Linked DNA regions of Astyanax mexicanus. The protein of the gene in region 2 purifies or fractionates together with the protein of the main gene of each other region. This does not show direct contact. Links are inferred from orthologs where the notes say so. Each region holds a gene or a part of one and is shown on either strand. Other genes may lie near its edges.

The links.
Region 1: the proteins of cops5 (region 2) and cul5a purify together in Homo sapiens (affinity purification with western blotting; 6 studies listed by BioGRID and IntAct, with this or other methods). This does not show direct contact. The link is inferred for Astyanax mexicanus from reciprocal best matches to the Homo sapiens genes COPS5 and CUL5.
Region 3: the proteins of cops5 (region 2) and klhl15 purify together in Homo sapiens (affinity purification with mass spectrometry; 3 studies listed by BioGRID and IntAct, with this or other methods). This does not show direct contact. The link is inferred for Astyanax mexicanus from reciprocal best matches to the Homo sapiens genes COPS5 and KLHL15.
Region 4: the proteins of cops5 (region 2) and dcaf11 purify together in Homo sapiens (affinity purification with mass spectrometry; 6 studies listed by BioGRID and IntAct, with this or other methods). This does not show direct contact. The link is inferred for Astyanax mexicanus from reciprocal best matches to the Homo sapiens genes COPS5 and DCAF11.

Annotation. Positions count from the first base shown.
Region 1 is NC_064425.1:6,512,943-6,520,263, reverse strand, and holds the start of cul5a (cullin-5a), read right to left. Parts: upstream 3,097-7,321; 5' UTR 3,029-3,096; coding exon 3,005-3,028; intron 228-3,004; coding exon 118-227; intron 15-117; coding exon 1-14. Other genes in the region: itgae.2 (integrin alpha-E), read right to left, coding at 5,615-5,668, 5,760-5,870, 6,845-6,928, 7,074-7,154. UniProt on the Homo sapiens protein: Core component of multiple cullin-5-RING E3 ubiquitin-protein ligase complexes (ECS complexes, also named CRL5 complexes), which mediate the ubiquitination and subsequent proteasomal degradation of target proteins.
Region 2 is NC_064408.1:97,568,202-97,575,745, reverse strand, and holds the start of cops5 (COP9 signalosome complex subunit 5), read left to right. Parts: upstream 1-4,444; 5' UTR 4,445-4,692; coding exon 4,693-4,835; intron 4,836-5,445; coding exon 5,446-5,680; intron 5,681-7,544. UniProt on the Homo sapiens protein: Probable protease subunit of the COP9 signalosome complex (CSN), a complex involved in various cellular and developmental processes.
Region 3 is NC_064408.1:92,115,539-92,123,253, reverse strand, and holds the start of klhl15 (kelch-like protein 15), read left to right. Parts: upstream 1-4,439; 5' UTR 4,440-4,624; coding exon 4,625-4,685; intron 4,686-7,288; exon of another isoform or gene 7,289-7,393; intron 7,394-7,715. UniProt on the Homo sapiens protein: Substrate-specific adapter for CUL3 E3 ubiquitin-protein ligase complex.
Region 4 is NC_064408.1:89,573,902-89,581,306, forward strand, and holds the start of dcaf11 (DDB1- and CUL4-associated factor 11), read right to left. Parts: upstream 3,301-7,405; 5' UTR 3,108-3,300; intron 2,254-3,107; 5' UTR 2,243-2,253; coding exon 2,055-2,242; intron 977-2,054; coding exon 849-976; intron 698-848; coding exon 579-697; intron 384-578; coding exon 319-383; intron 106-318; coding exon 5-105; intron 1-4. Other genes in the region: ngdn (neuroguidin), read right to left, coding at 5,609-5,628, 5,766-5,820, 5,997-6,144, 6,405-6,579, 6,763-6,889, 6,982-7,034. UniProt on the Homo sapiens protein: May function as a substrate receptor for CUL4-DDB1 E3 ubiquitin-protein ligase complex.

The DNA.
Region 1 (7,321 bases), on a different chromosome or scaffold from region 2:
CTGCATGAACATCTCTGCAGCAGAAGAGAGTGTCAAATAAATTACACTGATGCTCTTAGTAGAAACAACAGGGCTAACATTCTCTATTATGTATATGAATGTCATCAACAGCCTTACGAGAAAAGATCGAACCACTGCTGTTTTGTTACGGACTCCTGACGAAGCAACTTGAGGACAATGGGGCGCATCAGGTCCCACTTGTCCTCAAACTGGAGGGACCCTTTGTTCTAAGGACAAAAAATAGAAAGATTACAGAGATGCCGAAAAACTGCTAAACCTACACCAATCAGCCATTGCTTTAGTCCCACTGACAGGTGAAGTTAAACCTTTTGATTAAAACTTAAATTACGCTTCAATTAAACAGTCAATTCTTGAAGTGATTAATAGTCATAAAATAGGAAAAACATCAGGATCTTTGGACCTTAGGACCACTCTAAAAAGATCAAAATGTTTATATTTTTAAAACTTGACATTTGACACAAAGAATCTCCAAAAACACCAGGTAGGTCTTAATGGTTTTTCTAGTACAAAGTAACCATTACACGAAACATCACAATTAAAGTAGCATAACAACTTTTTTTCTTAAGAAATGTATTCAGTACTGCTTCATTACTTGAATAGACCATTTGGGTAGTTAATTAAAAAACTAAGGTATAATTAAGTTTATGTTACTATTAGATGAGCATGGAATTTAGTCAAATAAAGTTGGGCCAGTTTTGGGCCAAAACATAACTGTTGTGCAAACATTTTACACAGTAGTATTTCTTTGGGCTCAGAGATCTAGTGAATGTTATGCCTTCTTCATATGTGGCTGGCACAGATGGACTAGTTTTGGCCCACAATACTTATCAACCAAGAACATAGCAGACATATGTAGCCTAATATAAAATGATCCGTGCAGAGACTCAAGAGAACATTGTACTAAAACACATTAATTGTTTAACATTAACATTTTAATATAACATTATATTCATTATGGCTTTTAGAAAAAATTGTGTGGTGGAGGGGAGGGTAGTGCACTATAGGACCCTGTGACGTGGCCTAAGCTTTGTCCTTAATGGCATTTTTTCCCCTTACATTTCACTTGAGATGATACTTCAACTTGTACAGAAGTATTTTAAACCCTAATATCTATACTTCTACCTACAGGGTAATGAATGTCAATACTTTTCACACACAAGACATGAACTTCCAGAGGAACTGTAACTTATTTTTTTGATTAGACACATTGGGAATGTAGTTAGCAAACTATGGAATAATGAGGTTTATGTTACAAGGTAATGGACAGCACAGCATCTAAGGACATGACAAGCATTATATGTGGCTGCCACAGCTGGATTGGTTTTGGTCCACAATATTTAACTAGCAATACCAAAAAATAAATTTTGTCTAGCTATCTGGTCTGTATTTGTGCCAGAATCGTCAGCTATCTGTATTTGACTAGACACCTTAAATAGTTAAAGCTAACCTGGCAAACACACCAGAGATATGTCAATAAGCTGTATGTCACAGCATTCAATGAGTGACAGCTGCCTACAGGTCATTGTAGCTGACAGCTAGCTAACTTAGCTAACTAACATGGAAAAATTATAATTATTATCTACGCAGTTATTTTCAACAACACATAGCTTTTACAAAGCTGATTATAGAAAAGAGATAGCAAATAAAAGAGAGAGATATAACTAGCCAGTTAACTAACCTGGAAGCCATTCGCTTGCTAACATATATACAGCTTTGGAAAAAAATAAGAGACCACTTAAAATGATATGTTTCTTTGATCATATATATATATAATCAACAGGAAGATGGACGATCACAAGCCATCAAATCAAGCTGAACTGCTTGAATTTTTGCAACAGGAGTGGCATGAAGTTATCAAAAAGCAGTGTGTAAGACTGGTGGAGGAGAACATGCCAAGATGCATGAAAACTGTGTTTAAAAAACAGGGTTATTCCACCAAATATTGATTTCTGAACTCTTAAAACTTTATGAATATGAACTTGTTTTCTTTGCATTATTTGAGGTCTTGTTATTTCAGCCATTTCTAATTTTCTGCAAATAAATGCTCTAAATGACAATGTTTTATTTGGGATTTGGGAGAAATGTTGTCCGTAGTTAATAGAATAAAACAACAATGTTCATTTTACTCAAACATATACATATCAATAGCAAAATCAAAGAAACTAATTCAGAAACTGATTTTGTCTTATTTATTCTCCAGAGCTGTATTTAGCTATCAAATCTATCTAACGTTAACTAATGACAGTTAGTTTACACCTAGCTAAGCTAACTTTTTACGGTTCTGTGAATGTAACGTTAGCTAGCCAGCTAACCTAGAAACGGCGTTATTAGCTAACCTAAAGCTATTGGTGCTCATTGACAGTTTATGATAGCTAGCTAGGTTAGTTAGCTAGCAAAAATAATGTTTATTATGAGCTTAATATACTTAAAACGAGCTGAAAATACTGTTAGTAACGCATGACTCCCGATTCGCTTGCTAGCTAAGGCGAAATTTCAGGTAAGCTAGCTAGGTTAAATGACTGCTAGCCGGTCACTGTCAGTAAGCAGGTATAGTTAGCTAAGCAAGCTAAGCTACCTAGCTAGCAAGCTAACTAAAATAAATTTGATTATGTTATTGTATTCATGCAGCTACATCGTAAGATAAACCCCTATAAAAACATAAAAAATCCCAAATAAAATTAACAACCTTACTGTGCTTTCTGCTAAAGCGAGCTGACCACCTACTAAGACAGTAATAGCCCCGGATAAACTAGCTAGTTAGCTTAGCATAGGCTAGCATAGCATAACATTATGTTCTGCTTTAGCCTGACTAGCAAAAACAAGCTAGCCTATAAAGTGGTCCTGCAAGAAGCCGCCCAAGCACAGTGTCACGTTTATCAGCCCAAAAGCATTTATTAAATCGCTGCGTTGAAAGCTGAATCCGCGCACACAGCCGCAGCACACTGAGTGCAGTTTGAGTGCATTGAGCTGTAGTGTCTCTTACCTTTAACAGATTAGACATCGCCATGTTTCCTTAACTTACTCTCCCCCGTTTGATCTCGCGAGTCTTGGCTTGGCATAAGAATGGAGGAGATCTCTGGACAGGGATTAGATAGGGGCAGGTAGGTAGGCCAGCAAGAGGCTGGAGGACTGTGTCAAAATGTAAATTTTAAACAGAAGTGTTTTAAAACAATAGAAGACCACAGCTGAGAAGTGTACACACTTATTACTTAGATCTGGATCTGGGGGCAGCAGAGCAGCATAACAGTGATTCTAAACTTCTGAGTTCAATAACTGACTCAAGAACTCAGGGCACTGTATATATATAACGTTACAACTCTGGAAAAAAAATAAGAGACCACTTCAAAATGTCCAGTTTCTCTTTTATTCTATAAACCACTGACAACATTTCTCCCACAAATACAAATATTGTCAATTCTAGCATGTATTTACTTACATACTACTCACAAACTTACATACTACTCAGTGTAGCTGTAATGCTTACCGTGTGCAATATCCATCTCACTACAAGTACTGTGATCCCCTTATCACCATTTGTGCAATATGTTTAACGTGCAATATTTTTCTCATCTTTTTATCTACTATTTATTTGATATTTATTCACTGTTGCGCTTTGTGCAATAATACTGATCCACCCTATCATAATCATATCTCTATGCACTAGATGTATATATTCTTTCTTACTATATATAATTTTTAAGTGTCTTTTATATATTGTCTGTAATAGTTTTTTGTATATATAGATTTATCATTATTTGTTTATACTTTTTTCCTGACCTGTTTCTCTGTCCTTTCCTCTGTGCTGCTGTAACATTGTACATTTACCCATTGTAGGATTAATAAAGGATTATCTTATCTTATCTTATTTGCAGAACGTAAATGGTCAAAATAATGAAAAAGGGTACAATGCTTTAAAATCTTAAATAATGCAAAAAAAAAAAAAAAAAAAAAACAATTTCATAGTCATATAAAAACAACAATGCTCTCCACAAGTCTTTCACGCTGCTTTTGGGCAACCTTATTCCACTCCTGGCACAAAAGCAGTTTAGCTCTGTTTGGACTGTGAAGTTTGGTGGAAGATGGTGATGATCTAGAAATGCTTTAGCATGGCTGAGATTGGGCAGTTTGGTCTTTGCGAATGAAGCATGAATCAAGCCGCATACAAGGTTAGAATATCATTGAAATTGGCAATTGGTAATCTTGTCAGTGTGCCAGGTCCTGCTGGAAAATGAAATCTATCAAGGCTCCATAAAAGTTGTCAGCAGAGGGAAGCATGGGATGTAAGATTATGCGGGAAATGGGACTTTGGACTTTATATAAGTGGACCAACACCAGCAGATGACATGTCTCTCTAAACCAACACTGACCATCATTTGTAAATCAAGGGAGCAGAGTCTGGAGGAAGAGTGGAGAGACACAAAGTCCAAACTGCTTGAGGTCTAGTGTGAAGTTTCCACCAATCAGTTATGGTTTGTAGAGGTATGCAATTTTCTGAGACACTGATTTTCATTGGCTGTAAGCCATAATCATCAACAATAAAATAAATAAACGGTTAAAATAGACCACTCTGTGTGTAATACATACATAATGACTTTTTAACTTTATTTATAAGTTGTTTGACCAGAGGAGGATAGGTCCCCTTTACATATTAGCCTTGATAGTACATGTGACAGTACCTATGATATAGTACAAGGTACATGTGATGAGCCTTGGTTCCTCCCCAGGTTTCTTCCTCCTCTAACTCTGAGGGCGTTTTTCCTTGCCTCCGTTCTGTGTTGTATGTTCAATATTTTGTCTGATTCTCTGCACTGCTACCACATTTCTCTAAAGCTGCTTTCCGACAACATCAGTTGTAAAAAGTGCTATATAAATAAATTGGAGTTATATATACATACACATAAATACACATATACACATAAAAAGTCTAAATGATTGTGCAAGACACTTTTTATGCATTTATTTATTTGCAAATTTGCATGTTTTTTCTATGTATTTCCAGAAATTAAATAAATAAAAAATATGAATGCATAAAAAAAATACATAAAGAAACTGTAAAGGAGTATGTATAGTAACAAAGTAGTACTCTTTTACTTTAATACATAATTCGATATGTTTAATACGGGTTTGATAAAAATCACTGAGTGAATCAAGTGATTAAGCTGTCATATAAGAAGACATGTTGCTCCCGTTCTGCCTTTCACACTGCTGCCTCCCTACTTTTGACTGCTTTCAATAATATCTATATCAATATCTATATCAATACTGTACTTGTACTTTCAGTACTTAAGTAGTACAATAAAGTACTTGCAGTACTTAAGTACACAGAGTTTTGTCTTTTCAGGTCTCATCTTATTTGATAGATAGAAAAAATAATATTCAAATTTTATTAAAAGATTCAATTTTAAAATTTTACACTTCAGTCTATAAATATAAAATATGAGAAAATAAAAAATGAAACAAATGAATGACATTTAGTTTAGGCTGCTTCTAAAAACATAACATAAAGAGGTGACTAGTGATACAATATATAAAAAGTCACAATATTTAAAATATAATAACAATCTGGTATAGTCATGCTGACAATTGACAGCTCTCAGTGTGTGCTCTGTGTACGCTCCATATGATGCCGTCGACGGAAGAAGCCACACTGCAGGGAAAAGCAAACAAATGTGTTAACACATTTACTTTATTTTTTTTAATACAGCTTGAGCAGTAAAATAAAAGCCTTTTGTTTTTACCTTTATAAGAACAATGATGATGATGATTAACAGCAGAAACCCCCCAACGGAGCCACCTGCAATTACTGCAGTTGATTTCACAATCTTCTGCTTGATAACTACCACTTCCACCTGCATTCAGAGTAAAAACATATACAGTACTGAAACAGTTAGTTGCACGTGGGCCAAAAAGATCATAATTTGATTGTTTGGATATACAGTACTGTGAAGAATACACGCAAAAATAATTATTTAAATAGGCAGTGTTTATTTTCACAAACAGAGTTTCTCTGAAGTTACAGAAAAGCCAGCCAGCAAACTTTGGTTCTTATAACTTAGTTTTTAACTCTACTGAACAGCATATTCTGAATATTTACTATTATTCACTATTATTCTATTTTCTATTATGTATTACTATACTATTTTTACATAAGCATTTGAAACATTAAAGCAGCAGTCCCTAAGATTTTCTATTATAAACGGAAAGCAGCGGTATTCCTGAGTTGGGAGGTGATAAAATATTCTATATAATTGTATCAGTGTCCTAGCACGACCATCCCTGCAGCGTCTAATATTATTCTAAAAACAGAGTGGTCTGGTAGGTTTTAAAAGTACTCTTCCACATGCTTGATGCAGTTACACATTCTCACCAGAGAGGTCTCTAAATCCCTAAATTCTCTAAAGTACAGACTGTTGCTTTAGTCTTGTTTTATAAAGGTGATTACAATTAAAAATTTTAAATGTATTCCTTAAGGTAAAAAATCTTTACTTACTGTCAAAAACATATAGGAAAAGGCAAAATAAGGATTTTATTTTGTCCTGAAATTCCAGTTGTGAGGGGCAGAATTTAACAAACTAAAACTGGAAAATGGATGAACACTTATGTCTTGTACACTTTGTATACTGCACTACATAAAAAATAGTTTTTACATCCAATTTTCTAATTTTGCTTTTAGTCTCAAACAGTCAGAAAATTACACAGCTAAGTATTACACTGACCAAAAAAAACCCCAATTACAATTGCATTAAATAACTGTTGTAAACTATTTTTTGGTCTATTTAGGACTTTTCCACATCACTGTACTGTACTGTTAACTTTCCCCCACCTTTTCCATCTTCCTCATGTCTTGTCCTTCGTAGATGCTCTCATTAAAGCTGAGTTCTGCTTTGGCAGTGATCCTCTCAGTAATCTGTTCAAGTTTGAAAGATATGATCTCAGACAGAGGCAAACTTCTTTTCTATGGATTGACTAAAAAACAGCACTTACACATTTTTAATTAAACAATCAGAAGAAAGTTATTATAATAATAACATCAAATACACTATATTAATTACCTTAATGTCATTAATAATGACATCAGTGTTGATGGTAATGTCTTGCAATTCAGTCAGAATGCATTCTACACGAAGGTTGCTCTGGAAAACACAGCAAACAAAATGAAGAGTAGAATATACTGGGACATTTCAGAAACTATACAAGATTAGCTGCTAAGAGGAAATAGCATCATGCTAACAGGTTTCTTAACTTAAAAATAAGGGAACTACTTGTTTGCCTGACTTTACAATCTTTGTGTTATCCTGAC
Region 2 (7,544 bases):
ACAGAAAAGCAAAAAAAAAAAGTCTTTATCAATCTTTTGTCCATTATTTGGGCTTTTAACCCTATATTGTATGGTGTTGCCCTCAAGCATCAAAACCACTTTTTCAGTAATTAGCTACATAATCCCTTTATTTTTTAATGTTACTATTTTTAAATATAATGTTAAAAGACAAGCCTCCACTGAACAATATAGGGGGTAGAATTTGGTTTAACATTCCACCTGCAGGTGGAGTAATATTTTTAGCAACCAAAGCCACATGGGATGCAATCCCAGCAACTGATAAGATTAATGTGATGTTATAACACGTTTAAATTAAATCAAATATATTTAACATTACTTAATAAAATATGTATGAGCATCAATATGTAATGAAATACAGCTCTGGTAGAGAAATGGGAGTGGCATAAAATGATCCAAAAGCAGTGTGTAAGACATGCCAAGATGCATGAAAACTGAGATAAAAAAACAGGGAACTCTTAAAACTTTATGAATAGGGACTTTTGCATCTTGCAACTTTTGCTCTGCATCTTTTTTTTTATTTCAGCCATTTCTCATTTTCTGCAATTAAATGCTCTAAATTACAGTATTTGCGTTTGGAATTAGGGAGAAATGCTGTCCGTAGTTTATAGAATAAAACAACAATGTTCATTTTACTCAAACATATACCTATAAATAGCAAAATCAGAGAAACTGATTCAGAAACCGAAGTGGTTTCATTTTTTTCAGAGCTGTATATTGAGGTTTTAAATTACTTATTAAAATAGTGTTTTTTCATTTGTGGCCTGAGGAAAACATGCAGTCAGACCTCTTTTTAAGCAGTGCTTGTTTTTTTTTTCTCCAAATAAAATTTAAAAAGGCATACCACAGAGGGTTAATTCACAGCAGCTGAATGAATGAAAGAATGAATGAATGTTTGCTTTACTGTTTTTTAAGCATTTTTATCACCATACATGCATGAAGTTAGGAGGTTTAATTCTAATTAACTAATCATTCTAAATAACTCTTTACCAGGTACAGCAAGAATAAATCAGTGTCGCTGTTTAATTATTACACAACAGTCCTCTCTACACAACCTGTACAACAGGTAGCTGAGCTGATACAGTCAGTCTTACCTCTCTAATGCCTCTAAAGCCTCGTGGAAGAGTCTCATGCTTGTTGCAGTCAGTTCAGTCGGGTCCAGTGTTCGTGAAGTCTCATACTCAGGGTTAAGGGTTAATATCAGAGCTGCAGCTCAAACATTCACTCAGTTAATTCACCGGTAAAGTGGACTGAACTGAAGGAACCAGTATTTTGCTTCTGCACTTCCTCAATGACTTCTGAACGTAAACGTCACACAGAGGATCATGGGTAATGTAGTGCTTACCTTAACCTTTAGCCGCTGGACTCCTGAAACTTCTATTTTCTTTCCTTTTTATTTGTGCAGATACTTTATCGAAGCACAAATTGCTGCAACACATCTCTGAGATGCTGTAAAGTGTTTATTTAACCCTGTCTGCAAAATCCCACATCCATCGCATGTGTTATATTAGTTAAAGACCTCCTTTACTCAGGAGCAGTTTCAATATCAAACCACTAGATGGCAAACTCTTACTAAAACAGCAAGATTTCTACACTTCTGTGCCACTTTATTAATATACAAATTCCTTATTCAAAGAAAACTTCTACTCCTACATATATTTAATTCAATATATACAAAGTAAAAAATTGCAAAATTAAGGAATTTATTTATTTTTTTTCTTTTGTTTTAAACACCTTTCTGATCTTGTCGATAAGAAATAAGACCCTGTTTGTAGCTGTGTCCTCGGGCAATTCTCAATAAATTAAAAAAATAAATAAATAAAATAAAACAAAGCTGTATTTATATACATTTTCTCATGTACAGTACCAGTCAAAAGTTTGGACACACCTTCTCATTCAATGCTTTTCCTTTTTTTTTTTTTTTCTACATTGTAGATAAATGTTAAAGACATGGAAACAAATTAGATGCACAAAGGCAATTACAGAGTAAACAAAAATAGTCTGGCCCCCACAATATATTGTCCAAATAATATTCTATATTATATTTATGAATATTTATTATTTATATTAAATTTGCAATATAATATATATATATCATGAAAAAAAAGAAAACGTATTAAACATGCAGAAAATGTTGACAGGTACTGTATATATCAAGTTTGTCAAATAAAGAATTCTAATCTCTGGTCAATGTTTGGTCTTGCTGGAGTTTCAAAGTGTAAAGAAAAAACAGCAACTATTGTTCAGAACCTCCTTCAAGATGTTGAGAAAACTATTCCACTATTCCAATATGTATGAAACATATTCTGGTTTGTTAAACACTTTTTGTAAAAAACATAATTCCATGTGTGTTCCTGTATATAGCTTTAATGTACTCATCATTACATTTACAATGTAAGAAATCCTAAAAATAAAAAATAAAAACAAATTGTATGAAAAGAGGTGTGTCCAAACTTTTGACTGGTACTGTATACACAGTATTGTATTGAGTATACTATAACTGCCACTTCTTCCATTACTGAAATGTATGTTTTTTCACTGTATCCTCATCTTCCCTGACTTATTTTGTATATGTCCTTATTTATTAACATAAAAAAACATCTATTGTCTGAACCCTGTTTGCTTTGGACAAATTGACAATAATGTTATACTTTTTCAAATTAAAGGAATAAATATAAATAAATATTATTATATTTAATGTATGTGTTTAGCCTTTTAGCTACATTGGCCCCCATTATTTTGGACTCACAGTTTGCAGAGCAGATTCTCACTGTGTTTTTTCACAAGATGCAGAGTAGTGTGATATTACACTGCTGAACACTCTGAAATAGTAACAGACCACAACAACAGCTTAACACCTCCACAGAAAGGTGTTTGTGGTTTTTGGTCCCAAATAACATGCCCATGTGGGTGCTGTGTGGGTAGCCTAACTGGGAAATTTTTCACAGGTTCCATGTGGATTCTCATATGTAATGGGTCCAGGATAGTTAAACAATAGCTTCCATTTGGGTTGTATGATGCACATGGGGCCTAGATCTTTATTTGATCAAAACAGATTAGGCCTGCTCTTCATAACCAAATCAATCCAGAACTCTGCAATCAGGGAATTAAAACTGTAAATTAATGCATTGCTAAGTGTAGTAAACTGGTGTCACTTAGGTTGTTATATTTTGTGAGTAGATTTATTAAGATTCTGTTCCTCTTAACCCTTTCTGACCTTGCATCCATTACAATGGACATCGTGTATTTGAGAGCTGTTTTCCATCAGACCATAAACCAATAAACCAATAAACAAGTTTATAAACCAATAAAACAGTAACTTGGCCACTTCACTGGAAAAACAATAGTACTACAGCCAATGAGGCAAAGTAACAGCTAATATTTACTAATGTGATTTAGAACACGTTTTAATCATGCTTTTTTACGGTTTAGGGTGGTTTGTGAAATAAAAAGGTCAATATGAAATATTGGAAATAATGGAAATAAAAAATAGTAAATATTTTAGTTAATTTGATTTATTTGCTTATATTAATTTTATTATAGAATATTAGAGTCTTCTTTTCTGTGCATTACAGTCATAAAACAGCATTCTTACATTTTCTCATCACTGAAGATAATTCCGTTTTGAAAGGGTTAATCAAGTATCAGAAGGACTTTTATTTTGAAATTGTGGGTATCTACATATCAAGCAGTGCTCGGGCATTGTGGGAGTAATTAAAATGTATAATATATTGTCAGTAAAATAAAAAGACTAAGCGTGTAATATGTGAGGACAGTCATAAATGATATTCGCGTGATAAATGATTTGTACAAGACGGTTTATTTTCTTCAACGTGGTGCATTTCTGATCTTTGCCAGCTGATGGCGCCATGTTCCCGCATGTTAAGTGCTCGGGTTGCCATATTGGGAAAAAACATTTTAAAAATGGCTTGCTTATATTGAACAAATTTCCATTTAATACTTAGTCAGAATGTAACTAATTTTTTTATTAAAGTGAAAGCTAAAATTTATCTACATGCATATACGCTAAATTAAGTAAAATGGGCTATTTTCAGTGGTGAAATTCGAATTACTATTATAGTATATTATTATTATTATTATTGTTGTTGTTGTTGTTGTTGTTATTATTATTAATATTATTTATATACGTATATGTTTTATGTACGGATTTTGTGTTTATTTGTTTTTTTTTTATTTGTTGGTTTCCGTTCTCTTTTTGTATATTTTTGCTGCATACAACACTTGTATTACATTTGTTCAACGACAAATATTTATTTTAATGTATGTACGTTTTCCTCTTGTACATATAAGTTTTAGTTCCAGAAATACCAATTAAAATTAGTTTTTATGTTTCACTGTTCCTCAAGTCACAATGATCTAAGATCGCGCTTTACACACGGGGAGTTTTTAGGCCTCTTTTGGCAACCCTGGTCGCAACGGCCATTTGCCGTAGAAGAAGCCCCAACAACAGCAGCAGCAGCTAGTAGCTAATCTGGCTAATCTGAATCCAGGAGTGTGTATAATTGTAAAAACAGTGTCCTGAGGAGCAGCTGAGCTCCGCCGCGGTCCTGCGTCTGATCCTGGTCTGTAGTTTTGAGGGCAGTAGTCTGTAGGGTCTGTGGGCTGGTTGTCTGTAGGCAGTGCTAGGCTCGGTGAGCTAGCTGTAGGTTAGTTATGGCCGGCAGCAGCAGCAGTATAGCCCAGAAGACCTGGGAGCTGTCCAACAGCATTCAGGAAGTTCAGAGCATCGACGAGATCTACAAATACGACAAAAAACAACAGCAGGAGATACTCGCAGCCAAGCCATGGACTAAAGAGTGAGCCCCGCTCCCGTGATTTATAACATATCGCAGTGATGACTAGCTGTCTGTCTGTGTCTGTGTGTGTTTTCTATCTGTGTCTGTGTGTTTTCTGTCTGTGTGTTTTCTGTCTTTGTGTTTTCTGTCTTTGTGTTTTCTGTCTGTGTGTTTTCTGTCTGTGTGTTGTCTGTCTGTGTGTTGTCTGTCTGTGTGTTGTCTGGCTGTGTGTTGTCTGTCTGTGTCTGTGTGTTTTCTGTCTGTGTCTGTGTGTTTTCTGTCTGTGTCTGTGTGTTTTCTGTCTGTGTCTGTGTGTTTTCTGTCTGTGTGTTTTCTATCTGTGTCTGTGTGTTGTCTGTCTGTGTCTGTGTGTTTTCTGTCTGTGTCTGTGTGTTTTCTCTCTGTGTCTGTGTGTTTTGTCTGTATTTTAGGAGTTGTGTGTTTGTTTTTGTGTTTTTTTCTGTCTGTCTTTTTTTGTTAGTTTTTTTCTGTCTGGTTTTGCTTTGTGTTTTTTTCTGTCTGTGTTTTGGGATTGTGTGTTGGATTTCTGTCTGGGTCTGTGTTTTGTGTGTTTTCTGTCTGTGATTGAGAGATGTGTATGTATCATTGTGTGCTATGCTCTTGTTTACAGCCACCACTACTTTAAGTACTGTAAGATCTCAGCCCTGGCTCTTCTGAAGATGGTGATGCACGCCCGCTCTGGGGGGAACCTGGAGGTGATGGGACTGATGCTGGGGAAGGTGGATGGAGAGACCATGATGATCATGGACAGCTTCGCACTGCCTGTGGAGGGTACAGAGACCCGGGTCAACGCTCAGGCTGCAGCCTATGAGTACATGGCTGCCTACATAGAGAATGCTAAACAGGTAGGTTAAGCTTTACACCCCACAGTTCACAGCGGAGTATAGCTTAAAGTCTGGAACACCCCTTTTTCATGCCTTTTTATTTTCTCATCTTATCAATGACTTTATTACTGCACTTCACCTGTCAGACCTTTAACTCTTCTCTCATCACTGATGAAACTGAGTCCAATGTTAAGCTGAGCTAAAGAGGCTGTGCTTTTTTATACAATATAGGATTTTTTTTTTATAATATGCTTTTACCATATACTCATATTTTTTAGGTGTTTTTTTACCCTATTAAAATCAAAATGTATTTGTTTTGGCAGTTTACTGCAAAACGTTGTACATTTGATTTTGTACCATTTATTAACTGGACCTAAAAAACCCAAATAGCAAAAATAAAGGGGGAGAGGGGGGCTGTAATAAAACTTTTGACCGGTACTGTATTTCTCATATATATCAAGTATATAAAATAAAGCATGCTGATCTGGGGTCATCTTACACGTTTTATATAATTCTGATTTGCTGATTTTATTTTCTACATCGTAGATTAATATTAAAGACATGAAAAAAAAATTAATGGACACACAAGGAATAGGAATGTAGTAAACAAAAATATCCTATATTTATTAATATTGATTATATTTAATTTACAATGTGGATGATAAGGTGTGTCTACAATTTTTTCAAATAGAAAATGCTGATTTGGTGTCTGCTTACACCTTTTATACAATTCCTGTTTGAATTATATTATGAGATAGGACTTCATCTTGTCTTAATTTTTTTTATTATTATTTGATCATACCATGTCCTTATACTGAGGTGCAGGAAAACTGTTCCTTATTATAGTAATTTTAGTACATTTTCAAAAGATAGGTTTTCTTCTTGTCACACTGTCAAGCTGAAAAATCAACTCCAAATATTTTTGGTTTTAGACCAGTCTTAGCCCTAATCTTTAGTCAACTCAAGTCAAAAGGCTTTTATGGTAATTTCCTCTGAGTAAATGTGCACAGTAGTACCGTGGTGTAATATGGTAAGAAAACTATGCAATACAGAATACACTAAGGGCAAAATATAGAATCAGAACAATGAGCTTGATTAATAAAGCAGACATAAGACACAGCTGTGTGTGTTGTGATAAGGTGCAGAGATGGGTAACACCCTATGACATATTGATAAAACTGATATTTAAGATTAAGCTTTTATTATTTCCTCCATATATATGGCACTTGTATGCAATCATTTATTTAATAATTTGAGTTTCTGAGTCTGTGTCAGTGACTGACATGTATCCGTTAATGAAATGCCTACACTAAAAAAATATACCAAAATACAGTGCAAAACTAAAGAATTTAGTTCAGGCATTAAGGTTGTGTTTCCTGATGACGTGTGTTTAAAGTAAGGGGAGGATTGTGTAAGTTTGATTTGCTTTAGTGAAAAATCTTTGGATTCCTTTTATTTCATGAGCTGTACATATGCATACTCCTTATTATTAATCAGTTGCTACAGTTTATTTGGCATTTTGGATTTGTGATCTGTTTGTAGCCATATATTAATGTGCTCTGATAGTGATTTTATTTTAGATTTTGTTCTTCTACAATTACAACAGTTACATAAAGACAATAACAGCAAACTATATGTGGATTTATGTCATGCCCATATGTGATGACCATATATACTGCAGACTCTGCTTGAATATATTAATATAATTTTAGATGCTGATAGGGCATTAAGCACAACAACGAAAGCAGTAAAGTTTCTTCAGATAATTGTCTAATGAAATGTGTACTAGTCTGTCTAAGAAGAGCTAAAAGTAAAATAAATATTGCTGTAATCATGAATACAGAATATATTATTTACGAAATGCGAGTGTCATGTACAGCACAAT
Region 3 (7,715 bases), about 5.5 Mb from region 2:
GAGCGCCGCCTGACTGTTTCACCACACAATAAAACACATTTCATACACACTCACACCCGCTAATCCTCTACTACACAACAAAAAATACACTCTCTAAATTCACTACACATACAAACACAGAACCCACTGAAACACGAGCGATTCAACCACCCCCGGGTCCTGAACTCAGGCGTGGATGATGCAATACAGCGAGGAGGAGGAGGAACCATGTGTTTCCCCAGAATTAACCCCAAAAACCTTCTCACCCAGCACGATCACCTGCCCCGTCCGTACACACACGAACCCTGAAAAGACACCGAATCACCGGCACACAGCGACCACAGACCGCTACACTTTACCTGTGCGATTTCTGAAACACGTTGAAGATGAAGCCGATAGCGACAAGGGGTCCGTCTACTGTAAAATGCGTCATCAGTTTTGTAGTTTTCGACTCGGTGCAGTTGTAGTCCTTTATTTCGCCCCCTCTTTTTCTCTATGCAAAAAAAAAAAATGAATGAATTAACTAATTAATTCAAAAGGTTTGTACAGCAAATTATAGCAATTAAAGTATATTAGAGTCATATTTGTAACAGCAAAATGTAGCAAATTCACAGTAAAGAAGGCCTACTTTTATATCTGTAATATCACTTTATTAATCAGATTAGACTGTTACAAAGCATTTGAAGGAGGACAAAATAATAGTTAAGGTTCAGGGTATGTCAGTTTCATGTATCATTTCACTCCCATTTAAAAAAATATATAGTTACAGTGACATGACAGAGTAACCCTCATTTAAAATTTTCTTTGTTAAAAAGACTACTTTATGATTAGAGTTTCATTTTCCAAAAAATGCCAACTGCCATATCTGAGTAAGTTTCAGGGATATCATCACATAATTATACTTTCTGTGATTTTATTAAGTGTTATAATCTTGCCACTATATCTACAACTTTGTACTTTAGCTATATGTCTTTGTATGTCTTTGCTTTGTGTATTTCAACTGAAATTAAATACCTTTAGGCTAACCAAATAATATCACATTAAATAATACACCCCATCTGTTAATGCTGGCTCACAACACAAATACATTAACTTTATATGAGGTCAGGATGTTTAATGTAAATTGTATGTGTATGAGGGCAAATTGGGGCATCCAATTTGCAAATGTTATGTTAATGAAGAATTGGTGCAGGGTGCTTGTTTCCATGCCTGGAAAGAAGCTGACTCATCATCTGTGTTTAAATCACTGCTTGTTTTAAAGTGTCATGAATCAGACACGGATAAATTCATGCACATTTTCTTGCATTTCAATTTGCACTTAGCCTTTATGCAACGTTGACGACAAAGGGACATTGAGTCTGTGTTCTAGAATTCTAGAATCAGAATTAAGTCTAGGGCAGGATGTCTATGGGTCTAATAAAACTACACATGTAAGCCAGATTTGGGCCATGACTATCTTAATAGTTATAACATGCATTCATTTTTTTCTGATATTTTAAATTTTATGGTGGGATCATAAATAATTTCATGAACTCTTGGTTTACTGTGAATCTAGACTAGAATCTTACACAGAATCAACAAATCAGAATAAATATTTGTCCATAATTATGACAACAACAATAGCAACCAACAAGAAAAACCATAGTGAGACTAGTAACTACCTGGGGTACTATAGTAACCACTTAGCAAAACCATACAAATCACCTGACATTCCATAGCAATCAGTTAACAACTACCTATAAATACCATAGCAATCACGTGGGATACCACAGCAACCACCTAGCAACACCATAGCAACTGTATAACCAGAACAGCTACAAGTAAAAACAACAACTTAGCAATAGCATAGCAACCACCTGGTGTTCCAAGGGAACCACCTAGCAACACCATAGCAACCACCTAGAGTTTAGACTGTTACAAAGCATTTGAAGGAGGACAAAAGAATGTTTAAAGTTTGGGGTATGTCAGTTTCATGTACTAAATTCCCATTAATCAACTATGCCAATATAAATATAGTTTTCCTTTATGTGACACTTTTAATACTGTTTTAAAACTCGTATAAATGTGAGTAAGATTGAGTTGAATTCAAAGTTTATTGAATATCAGAATAGCATACGTTGTTCCATTGACCTACTTTTGACTGTAAATGCAAAAGTTTGCCACAATTTATTTTAAACTAAATTGTAAAACTTGTGGACTTATGGATTTTTACTAATATAGTATTTTATCTGTTCCAAATGTTAAGACAAATATGTTGCACTGAGTGTGTGTTACATTATTTTGTGACCCTGGCAACAAACAAAATGTTTTATCTTGTCTTTTTCTGTCATGCCAAGTCCCTAGAGGAATGTTGTTTTGTTACACTGTTTAGCCTATTTCTTTGGAAATGTGGACGGGATGACAAATTGACTGTTAAATAGGACTCAGTAGAAATGTGCTCTCTGGAGTGATGAATCACTCTTCACTATCTGGCAGCCTGATGGATAAATCTGGTCATGGTGGATTCCAGGACGACGCTACATACTGGACTGCATAGTGCTTACATTACAGCTTGGAGGATCTGGGATGATGGCCTGGGTCTGTTTTTGTGCCCTTAGTTCCAATGATGGGTGATGTTACAGCTACTACAAACAAATACATTTTACACAATGCTTTAAACTTTGCAGTTGCACTGTGCCCAAAGCTAACTTCTTGTTTTGAAAAGTTTGATGTGAAGGAACACCTGAACACCTTAGGGATGAACTGTAATGCTGGGCTCAATCTAACTGAGTGAGTAGGATGTACCTCCCTATGCCTGACGTTAGGCAGTGTGGGCATCTGTTTGCTGAGAATTAGAAGTTAACATTCTCCTCCCATCTTATTGAGCCTTTAACACTTTTTACCAGGAGTTGGGAGCACATGCTCCGGGGTAGCTGGGACATTTAGGGCTAGCTGAGAGCACATGGACAACAACACAAACATGGAGGTGTGTATATATACATATTTTTTAAGGTCCCACAGCTACTAGTATTCAATTTACACACAATGAGGAAATGCATTACAATTTTGATTTTATTTAGATGTTAAAACAAGCGTTGGAATTAAATGAAACTGATTGCCAAAGCAGTCTATTTTTCTCCCTCTTTAAGCTTTAATCTCTTATTTAATAAAAAAATGTCCCACCATGCAAGTGAATTTAAAGACAAAATAATTAATCCACAGCAGTTAACTGTTACAAGCTCAATTGGTGTATTAAAGGAGGCACATGCAAGCTTCAACACTCCTGGATAATCTGTAATAATAACTGTAAACAGCTTCCAAGCTGATTATAAAGGAGATAACTGCAGCCCAGTTGTGGTCCTTATTAACTGCTTTCATGGTACCACACTGTTCTTTTATGAAATTTACTGGGCTACATGACCTGAAATCTGCTTTTTGGTCCAAGTATCATGGATTGGGAAATGTGATTCTCCTTCCATTACATAATGAGCTGGAGGTATGCATTTGTGGCTACAATCAGTGCAGCAGTTGGCAACTACTGGCGACTAAAAATGGATGAGGCACTTGAAATGGTGCAAAAAGGGAATTTTTTTGCATATAAATTGAAACAAACAGGACACACCATGCATGTGACTTGCGTGCAAAAAAACAAAACTGTTGGGTAAAGCTGGAGCTGGAGGTAAGCAAAACACTTGGCAGCTACAAATGGTGCAGCAGTAGAGGAATGGATGAGACACTTGAGGAAAAACAATTGGTGAAATTATGGCAGTAGTTAAGTACACAAATAAATACAACTGTAATAGTGGCCCAGTGGACTAAGGCACCGGATCGAATCCTGCCCATGTAGCCCTGAGAGAGCACAATAGGCCTTGCTCTCTCTGTGTGGGTAGATGGCACTCTCTCCCCCATCACTCCAAAGGGTGATGTCGATCAACACAAGCATCTGTGAGCTGATGTATCAGAACCGAGTTTGTGCGCTTTCCTCCGAGCGCACTGACTACTCGGCAATGCTGCATCAGCATCAGATCAAAAAGAGGTGGTGACTGACTTCACATGTATCAGAGGAGACATGTGCTAGTCTTCACCCTCCTGGTGTTGGGGCATGACTAGTGATTGGGGGAGTCCTAATGAGTGGGTTGGGTAATTGGCCATGTAAATTGGAGAGAAAATGGGGAAAAAAAATAGAAATACGATTTTCATTTTGGGGTGGCTAAAAGCTCTGGGACGATTTCTGGGACGGTTGAGGAAAGTTAGTCGGGAGCTCTGGTAAGTGTTTACTGGGCCCTTCAGGTACAGAGCAAAAAAAGCAAAAACGTGCTGGGTCCTGTCAGACTGTGGCCTATCATCTTTCAAACAGACCACACAACCAGTGGCACATATTCCCGGTTTTGTAAGCTGCTTATTTCGGCGTCTAAAGTCTAAAGTTTGAGCTGCTAAATATTGCACCCCCTTCACCGCCTACAGTTCCGCCCGACCGCTTCTGCTGCCGGAAATTACGTCAGTGCAGACCATAACATGGCGTCTGGAATGGCTGTGAGGGCTGCAGGAAAACACAATGTTGGAATCCGGTCGGAGAGCGGGCTGATTTAGAGGCGCGGGCGGGCTGAAGGGTGACCGGGGGCGATGAGGGTTCGGGCGGAGCCGGTGTGAGGCAGCGCGCCGCTCCATGTCGGAGGGACCCCGGGCTGCGTGGTCGAAGCGGGGCTGCGCGGAGTCCCACCGCCGAGGTAAAGCCGGACTCTTTACACACATCCCCACAAAAAACACAGAGATTCAGGAGCAGCAGGGCAGCGGCGGGCCGCTCAGCGGGGCCAGCCCGCTCCCTGCAGCCCGGTGGAAGAGCTCAGCCCGAGCCCCGGGGCTCCGAGCTCTAGTATAATGTGTTTAAAGAGTGGCTAAGCATGCTCACTGGACCCTTCTATATTACAGTGTAGGGGGGTGATGGCTATAGCTGAACTAGCAGAGTGAGGGGCAGGAGATGGACTGATTCTGTGTTTATAACCATGTGTGTGTTCATTTAACCTGCCTGTTCAACATTTCAGAAAAAAAGCTTAATGAAGCCTGGTGTTGACCTTTGCTCTGAGAGGTTACAGTGAAATGGGCCCTTGATGAAGAGGTTATAAGACAGTAACCTATTTCTGTAGCCCCATAGGTTTGATTTCAGGCAAAAAAGCTAAAGACTCAATACATTAATACAATGTTTTGGTACTTTCAGATGTTTAGCCTTGTCTGTTATTTTAATTTCACTATAATGTGCATAGTAGACTCACGCTAAGCCACTTTACTGGACCTTTTTGTTATAAACATAGCACAAAGAGTAAAAACAATCAAATCAAATTTATTTGTATAGCGCTTTACAGAAATGTGATCACAGTTCAGAGAATCAGGTGAAACATTAAACATAAAAAATACAGAATAAAGAACCTGGAGAAGGAAGAAACCTTGGAAGGACCAAGACTATATACAGGGGGGGTCAGACATGATGTCTACCATTGGTCAGACATCTTTTAAATGATTTTTAAAAAGGCTTTATACATTCACCTAAGTCTTATATATTCAGTTTTATAGCAATGATTTGGTAGATTTGGCATTTCTTTGTTTTAACAATGATTATTGGCTATAAATATAATACCTTTGGAAAACCTGTTCATTTTTTTCTTGTAAATGGTCACATTAAATCACATTTGTAAGAAACATGCATCTGTGGGATGAGCAGTAGGGGAGAGCATGTTTGTGGCACCCATAATAAAGTTGCCAAATCTTCTCTGCCATGGTCAGACAGCTTATTTTGCTGTTGACACTTGTTTTAAGCTTCTGGTACCCCCAGGTGCTGCCAATAAGTAGCCAGGTGAGCATGGACTCTGCTACAGTGACCAGTAGGTGTCTGCTCCAAGAATCGGCATCATGTCACATGTCATGGCATCATTTAACTGATCTGGATAGGGTTCATGTGGCAAGGCTACTTCAAGCTGGTGTTCTGCAAAAAACAAGGTGTGGTTTTATTTGGAATTTGTAGTGAGCCCTAGTACCAATATCTCCAAACTGAAGGCCAAGTTCCATATAATGGGGATGTTAGAGAGGGACCGCCAAGTGGGCATCCCCACAAGAGAACACCCCAAGAAGATCTGCATTTTATGGATGCATCCCACATGCTCAACTCTGCTGCTCATTCAACAAATGCATGTTTCTTACAAGTGTGGAACGCCTAAAAGGGAAGTTAACAGGCTTTCCAAATGTATAAGATATATTTCCAAGAAGCACTGGTACAATAAATAAATAATCTAGCAAACACTAATGTCCTTACTTTTTGTGCTATGGTAGAAGCTGCAGGTGATTATCATATCATATATTTGGTAATTTAGGTGTTTATAATTACTGTAAAAAGCACAATTGTTAGTGTTTCAGTATAATGGTGTAAAGTCTAGTGCTGATCATTATTTCAAGAGGTTAAAGTGCAGTGGGCCGTTGATGGACTGCATATCTGCATTTGCTTGATTCAGTACAGTGTACATGAACTTTATCAGCTGTCAGTTATATTTGTAAGCTAGCTAGCTTATAAAGTGTGGATCTGGGTTTGGTCAGTGCACTTAGAAACATCTATAAGCTTTCAGGTGTTTAACCCTGTCTGTGTTAGGTTTTAGTATAGTCTGTATAGACTAATTCGAAGCCTGTTTCCACTATAGTATGGGGTTACAATTAAGTGTGGGTCCACATGTGCTTAATCTCAGTACATTGGGCACAGGAAAGTGACTATGTACTGCACAGACTGAGTAAGCTTAAAGTTGACCTCGGTATGTTGGCCTTTTCCACAAGAGGAAGAGTTCTTATAAAGTCTGGGTTTAAGAGTTATGAGATTCTTTGCTTCCTTGATGCTTTGTGAGTGTGTGGCACATTGGTGCTGATCTGATTGTGGTAGTTATGCCTTAATCCCTTGTTATTTATGCACTTAGACACAAGGAAGGGGGGGATTCTTTGACATTACAGTAGTACACTATTGTAGAACCCTATTTAATTCATATTTAAGTTCTTATGATTATAAATGCTGTATTTAGTGTCATCATATAAAAGGGCATGATGATAATTGTTTTTGTGATAAATTATATTGTATTTTATTTTTATAGTAAAAAAAGGAATGCTCATAGTCGCAAAAATACAGTACTCAAGGACAAAATTGGTAGTTTTAAAAACATTTTATACTATTACACTGTCAGTTTCCCGGACAGGATTACGTCTAGTTATAAACTATATTTTCTTTTCAATTGAAAATCTATATTTTAAATGCAGTGTAGTTCAAGACTAGGCCTGATTCCTGTCTCCCCCTCATTTATAGGACTGAGGGATACAAATATCTAAGCTTTCTCCCAATTCCTCAGACCTTGTCCCAACAATCAGCAGCCATGGACTCCTCTAAGCAGCTGTCCAGCATTCTGAAAATGTACGTAATATTAGAATGCCATAAGAAGAGTTTTCAGGTAGTGGTTTCTTTAGATAGTCTTTTAATCATAATTAACAGGCTTTGTGGCGGTGAGTTGAAGTTGAGGTCTGGAAGATCAAGAACTATTTTAGAGAGAGCTGTTTGTAGGATTTCTAGAAACAAAACAAAACCCCATGTTTGACATGCTTTTTTTTTTTGCCAGTCTGTGGTGCAGAGCGCCTTGTTCAACTGTGCAAACCATGACACCAATTGGGTCCTCATGAAAGAATCTTCAGAATACTGAATAAGCCCAGTGCATTCTTGAAATAAATCCTGTGGACCG
Region 4 (7,405 bases), about 8.0 Mb from region 2:
TTACCTTGACATGCTGAAAGGAACATATTTCCATCGTCACTGTAGACTCCACAGAAAGCTTTCTGATGGTACGTGTCCTTATGAGCCACAAAATTGGGCAGAAAACTGAACAACACATAATAAAAAGGAACAAATAAAAAATGAAACAAAAAATTACACAAATACAAATATTAAGTTACATTAACATCAACATTCTCATTCAATACATCTTATCTATGGTCTAATGGATGACTTGTGTTGAAGAGTTTCTAAAATGCAGCAATTGTGATGTATAATGAATAAATTGCAGGGATTGTGTGTATGTGTGTGTGTACTCACTGTGAGCGTATCCGACTGCACTCGCCATGAGAGAAACTGGATCCACGACACCGACCCTGCTCCCTCTGGAACACACACACACAGTCACTAGAACACTGATGTACAATAAACCTATTAAGGTCTATGTGTTTGCTGTTGTGTAAGCGAAGGTCAGTTCATGTTTCTATATGAGCTGTAATTCAGTTGTCAATGCTCAGAGATTATTCTTGAGTTTTGTTCAAATAAAAAAAAACAGTAACTATCATTTGATGGTCCTTCACCTGATTCAGCATGTGTGTAAAGCTGTGTTTCCCCTTCAGATTTGAGGAGGCAGTGGCCAGCAGGATCTGTGTTCGGATCTCACTGCGATCCACTTCCTGAGTATCCGGATGGGAGTCCACTAAAACAAAAAGACATGCAGTGTGTGTAATTAGGTGTAGCAGTGAGTAATAAGGATTGAGTATTGAAGGTGATTATTTCTTGGCTGCTGTTTCACATACATTTCCCTCTAGAAACCAATTAAATACATCAACCAATTTGTTTATATTTACCCGGAGGATCATAACGGTGTCCCAGACGTCCCTCCCAGGCTCCATCACTGTCCTCATCAGAGTCTGAGACAGACTGGACGAGCTGCAGTCCTGTTGCTCCACTCCCATGGACCAGTCTGACCTGGCCCCTACACCACAAGCAAACACACAGCACACATTACAACCCCTCCACAACACACAAACCAGCTTTTAAGACTTAAATTCCTCAAGCTTTGGTGGACTGACAAAGCAACAATCTTTCGGAGTGAACCACAGTGCATTTCTATAAAGTCTATATCAGTGGTTCTCATTATACTCTGGCAGAACACAGTAAATGAAAGTGGACCTATTTATCTCAATATCTCTGTTTAATCTCGACATGCATCAGCATGTTAATCATAAAAACAAGGTCATATTAAAAATCCCCTTCAGCATGAAAATGTCACTACACACACACACACACACACACACACACACACACACACACACACACACACACAAACACATATATATATATATATATATATATATATATATATATATATATATATATATATATATATGCATATTTGTATTACACACCTACATTACTACGGACTGTCTAGTAGGGCTGCAACTAATGATTATTTTGGTAGTGGACTAATCAGATGATAATTATTTCGATTAGTCGATTAATCAACGATTATTTGTGCCATGTTCTCCATCTCTAAAAAAACAGAAAACATGAGATTTAAAAGGCATTTAAATGTCCAGAAGTTGTTTAAACATGGAGAGTACTGACATTTAGTGATTAATAATGTAATCTGTTCTGTTGTAGTCGACAAATTTAAATAATCGACATTGTCGATTATAACGACTAATCGTTGCAGCTACTGTCTAGGACACAAATTGATTAAATAACTGTATACTGAATACCAAATCCTTTTTTTAATTGACAACATTAACATTTACATTAAAATTTTTTTTACTTAAAATAACAATAGCAAAAAAAATTCTTTAAAAAGAAAAAAAAATCATGGTATTAGTCATTATGAAATATTCCAAAACATTTAACTTAGAAAAGAAACTAGGAGAATTAGTAAACCTTATGAATGTGAATTTCAATAGAACACTGTATCGCTTGTTTCTCAATGAAGTATTTAAAGCACTTAAGAGTACTGAAATTATTACCAAACTGCATAGTAGTATAAATAATACAAAAATTATATTAACAGGTCTCCACTTCACCTTCTCAGTAGGTACGCCAGTACTTGTGCTAAATCAACGTCCTCCTCGGACGCTGATGCTCTGTCTGCCTGCCTCTCGGGCTGCCGGCGGCCTCTCTGGTTGGAATTCTGGTTAGATTCTGGTTCTGACTGGTCTGGGTTGCCGCTGGAGCCCCGACCGGACATCCCAGAACTGGACTGAGAGCCCATAGACCGAGCACCTGGGGAAATATGAAACAGAACACAATGATTTGAATTGACATATTATACCAGACATACTGTTTCCTATATCTGATATGATATGATACTAAAACCTGGAGTAAAACCTGTCAATACTGATCAGATGTGTCTTTCTTTAATAATTACTAAGCTTTATAATGGTTAGATATTTATATATGTATATAGCTCATTAACTACTATGTTTAAACTGTACTACCACATCCAATGGCCTTTATGTTCCTTTCATAACTTCCGTGACAGGATTCACAGGATTTTTCCTCTGGTGTGTAAAAAACAGTATAGTATTCACACTTAACACAAACAAAACATTCAATCCTCAAATACAGATAATCTATAGCTCTCTTTTCTTCCACCTGCATCTGCCAACACATCACAATAGCTAACTGAAGTTCGAGAAAGAAATGAGAGCAGGGTGGACTGGTTTAGACTATGATCAGCATTTCACACAGGCAGTGTCATGGGCAGACATACATACAATATGTTGACCCTGAACGTTGGCTTCTTATTGGAATCGTCTATTCCACCTTAAATGGCCCAGGAGTTACATTCTGGCGTTCAGAAGAACACAGCAGCCGTACCATTTAAGGTGGAAGGGACAGATCCAATAAGAAACCGGCGATTAAGGAACCAAGGACGAAAACATTCCCCACAGACTTAAACTGGACAGGACACAGGTCAGCTCACAGCCCACTGTCACACACCCCGCTAGTGACCTGTGTTTACAGCCCCCAGTTCACTGTTCACCGCTGTGACACAGTGTTTATATGCCCCCCTCCGCCGCCGCTGTCTTTATCTGTTTATAATGTGAGTGTTAGCCCCGTGCTAACGGGCCTACCGTCACTCTGCAGTCTCTCAGCTCTCCGCGTCCACTGTTACTCCCGGACACCTGCGGTACCGCTCCCTGTACTCATACAAACCCGACCCCCGGCTGACAGCTCGCTCCCCCGCTCCTCTAATCCGCTTTTATGAGCCCCTCTCTCTGCCTCAGACCCTCCATGTTGTTTATGAAGCGATGCGCGTTCACGACGATCACGTGACACGGTCGCGAACCCGAGAGCGAGATCCACAGACTAAAAAAACAAAACTGGAAAAAAAAAAAAAAACAGGGAAAATATATTAACAAAAACAATATCTTGTAAAATATATACAGTAAAACATACACTTAAATATACAGTAAAATATACATCTAAATATACAGTAAAATATACACTTACATGCACAGTAGAATATACACTTAAATATACAGTAAAATATACAACTAAATATACAGTAAAATACACACTTAAATATACACTATAATATACATGAAAATATCCAGATATTACATAAATAATATAAACTAATATATACACAAATACAGAGAATATTATAAAAAATGTTATACAGTAAAATATACAGATTTACAAAGAATATTAACAAAAATATTGTACACTAAAACATACAGATTTACAGAAAATATTAACAAAATTATATACAGTAAAATATACAGATTCACAGAGTATATTAACAGAAAAAATACACTAATACACACAATATTAACAAATATACACTGATATATACATAAATATAGAGATAAAATTAAAATAATAAATCTAAAGCTCTTGATATAAAAACACACATTTAAAGAGAATAATGACAAATATAGATAAAAATACATATGCAACTAATTTAGATTTTTAATCATGATATAAATAGTCTTGACAAAATATACATATTTACAGAAAATGTGCTAGCTAAAAAAATATTTAAAAGCTGTGAGCACTGACAAATTTTTACATAACCTTTTCTGATATTTTAATACTGTAAAGAGAAAGAAACATAATCTGGCATAAACATTAAAGCAATGTGAGTAATGTTATATGTGGGTATTGTTATTTATAGACATTTTGCCCAAACTTTTGATGCAGATTTTAGCAAAAAGGTTTTAGTTTTTTTTTTTTTACTATATTAATTTGTATAAACGTTTATTTCATAGATTTGTCCTTCTGTTTTCTTTACAGAACACAGATTCAATAATATGTGTAAAACTGGGTAAAAAATTAACCCAGTGGTGGCTTAGGGTAATCATATACAGTATTAGTGCAACTCTATTAACCCCAGTCTGAACACCTTAAAAACAATCATAAACAAATAAATATAAAAGAATGACCTTTTATAACTGGTAGATGATGGAATGGTGTGGAGATGGGGAATGTGGAGACTGTAGAACAGGCATTATTTTCGTACATATGCAACTTACTTGCACTTACATTTCTTTGAGTGATTTAAAAAAATATATATTTGCTGGTTAAAGGATAGATCAAAGAAATGAAGTGGCATGAGCCAGAGCAGGAACGTTCAATGTTTCTCGTGTTCTGTGTTAAAGAATTGCTTTTGCTCCAGCACACCTGGGTCTGATATTTTGTTGGATCTGAAAGCTCTCAACAGATAATTCAAGAGTGGCCAAAAAGAGTCTACAGCTGCGTTTGGAATCTATCCCTATAACAGAAATAGTGCACTCTGTAGTGTGTCAACTATTTTGAAGTGCTGTTTGATCTCAGTAGTACATTTAAACCCTCAGATTTTCCACTTGAGATAGTGACTATGTAGTAAGTGACCACCACAGAGCAGTTATTATTTAGGTGATTGGTTGTTAACAGCACTGCAGTGGCCCTGGGCTGTGCTGCTGGAGTTTTTAAACAGTGTTCATTCTCTGTCCTCCACTCTATTAGACACTCCTACCTACCTGCTCCACCTTTTAGATCAGAGACAGTAGCTCATCTGTTGCTGCAGTTTCTGTTGGTCTTCCTCTACGTTCCCACAGGACGCTGCTGGCTGAATATTTCTGGTTTGTGGACTATTCTGTCTAACAGTCACACTGCGGGGTTATTGTCCAGCAGCTCTTCTGCACCACCTCATCAGTGTTACTACAGGGCTGTGAATAACCGACCAGTGAAAGACTTGAATAACGTACCTAAAGTACTTTTGCTGAAGTAGCAAAAGGTCAGTTTAACATGGCTGTCTTGTACACATGAACCCCACTGTGGGTTTGCAGAGAAATATACTATGTTCAAGAACGTGCTAAAGCATTCAATTATGTGCTTAAACGTCAAATAACATTCTGCGTAATTCAGTAATTTGGTGCATATAAACACTGAAATGTCCAGAAATGTGATGTAACATTCAGTAAAATTCAGTGTAACATGCTGCAGTAATCACTGACACATTAAATACATTGCAGAAGGAAAAAAAATACAGAACTACATTCTGGTTTATTGTTTTTTTTATTTTGAAATCTTTAAAGAAATTGCAACCTCATCACACTGTCTTATTCTGGACGTTGAAAAAAAAAAAATCCTACTTGCGTTTCTTGAACACTGAAAAGTAAAAGTTCAACAAAAATTAATTGTCAGTTAAATCCATATCAATTATATTAAAAAAAGATATAATAACGACAGCAAATATCAAAGTTTGGGAAAAAAGTAAGTGCAATATTCATTAAATCCAGACTTACTTTTCTTTTTGTTTTTCTTCATAAGCTTCTTCTTCTTCTTTGGTCTTTCCACATCCTACAACATAAAAGAATAATTATTTACTATGATAATTTAGATTATTATTCATTAACAGACCTGCTCCATCTGAGCAGTTTTGAGAACATCACTGCTGTGTAGAGATTATGCTCTCATGATTTAAGAGTTTATGGTTTATTATGAGTGATTTTAATAATGTTTTTCAATGTGCTCACCGCTGTCTGCCTGCCAGTCAGTGCCGTGATGTCACTGAAGTGTGTGATGTTGCCCAGTTGTGAGGTCATTCCCACCATCCGCCTCTTTTTGGCCTTCTGTTCTCGGGTAAGACTTAGACGCACCATCATGGACTCCTCATAGTTCTTCCTAAAGAAAGACAAAGAACAGTGATCTGTAAACACTGAGGCCAGACATTGCAGGCATCATCACAGAAAAAAAAATCAACCAAGATGGGGTTACAGAGGAGCTGCTTCCCAGCAGGGAAAGAGAGAGTGCACAGCAAGTTATGTTATGCAAGGATTGTACCTCCAGCTTTATAGAGCCAACACAGACAGCTAATACAGTACAAAGTATATTAATCTGTTATTCATCTACAGTAACTCTATAATTCAGTATATTTTTCTTACCTGTGTCTGTCCTCTTGTATCTCACGATCAGTCTGGAAATCTTGGCGGTCCCGGATCTCCTCTGGAGCATCACTGTATTGTCGCCGGAGCTCCTGGATGACGGAGCTGCGCAGAGCCGCTTTCCTCTGCTTATCAGCAAAGTCTTTCTGCCGGTCCGACTCGGTCATATCCCCGCCTGCAGTTCAACAGACAAGACAATTTTACCAAAGTGTATGTGATCTGTTGAGCAGCACTCAAAGCCACAGTCTCACCACAGTGATGCTGATTAAATACTTCCATAAGAAACTGATTTGAATTTGAAAACATTATTTGGATTATTGGATTATTACTAAACCATTAACTGAATCATGCATTTTACCATAATGCATTGGGGCAATCTTGGGTGGTACGTATTTCCTGCCAAGTCCTGTTTTCTGATCATCTTTTTCATCTCCTGGTTCATGATCATCATCAACATCATCATCTGAGTCTTCAGCTTCGCTGAGCTGCATAAACATAAAAATACAATAACTAAATTTGGAATCCAAATGTCACATGACCAGGTACAGGCAATTAAAGGGATCTGAGTGGGTTTTACCTTACTGGCGAGATTCTCAGGATTTGGACGAAAGTGTAAAGGATCATTCGCGGCTGTAACAGAAGATACAACTCTAGTTAGGAGGCATATTCATATTCACTATTCTTTTGTGATACACAATGTATTCCTGCACACATCTGACTTGAAACATGATGAGATTTTTATTTAATCCACAAAAGTAGATGAAGAAAAAAACGGATTAATTAATGAAGCAAAAGGGATAACTTGCAAAGGTGAAGTGTGAGGTGACCACAGTGCAATTATAAGATCAAGGATAGGAACAAAGCAGATTATTCTAGTCTTATATATTCCATTTTAGGAACAATTAATTGAATTATTTGTGTTTAAAAATATGGGGTAGCAATTCTCACTCCTATGTTTCAAGAACATAAATCTCGGTATTCATGTTCTAAGAAGTGTTTAA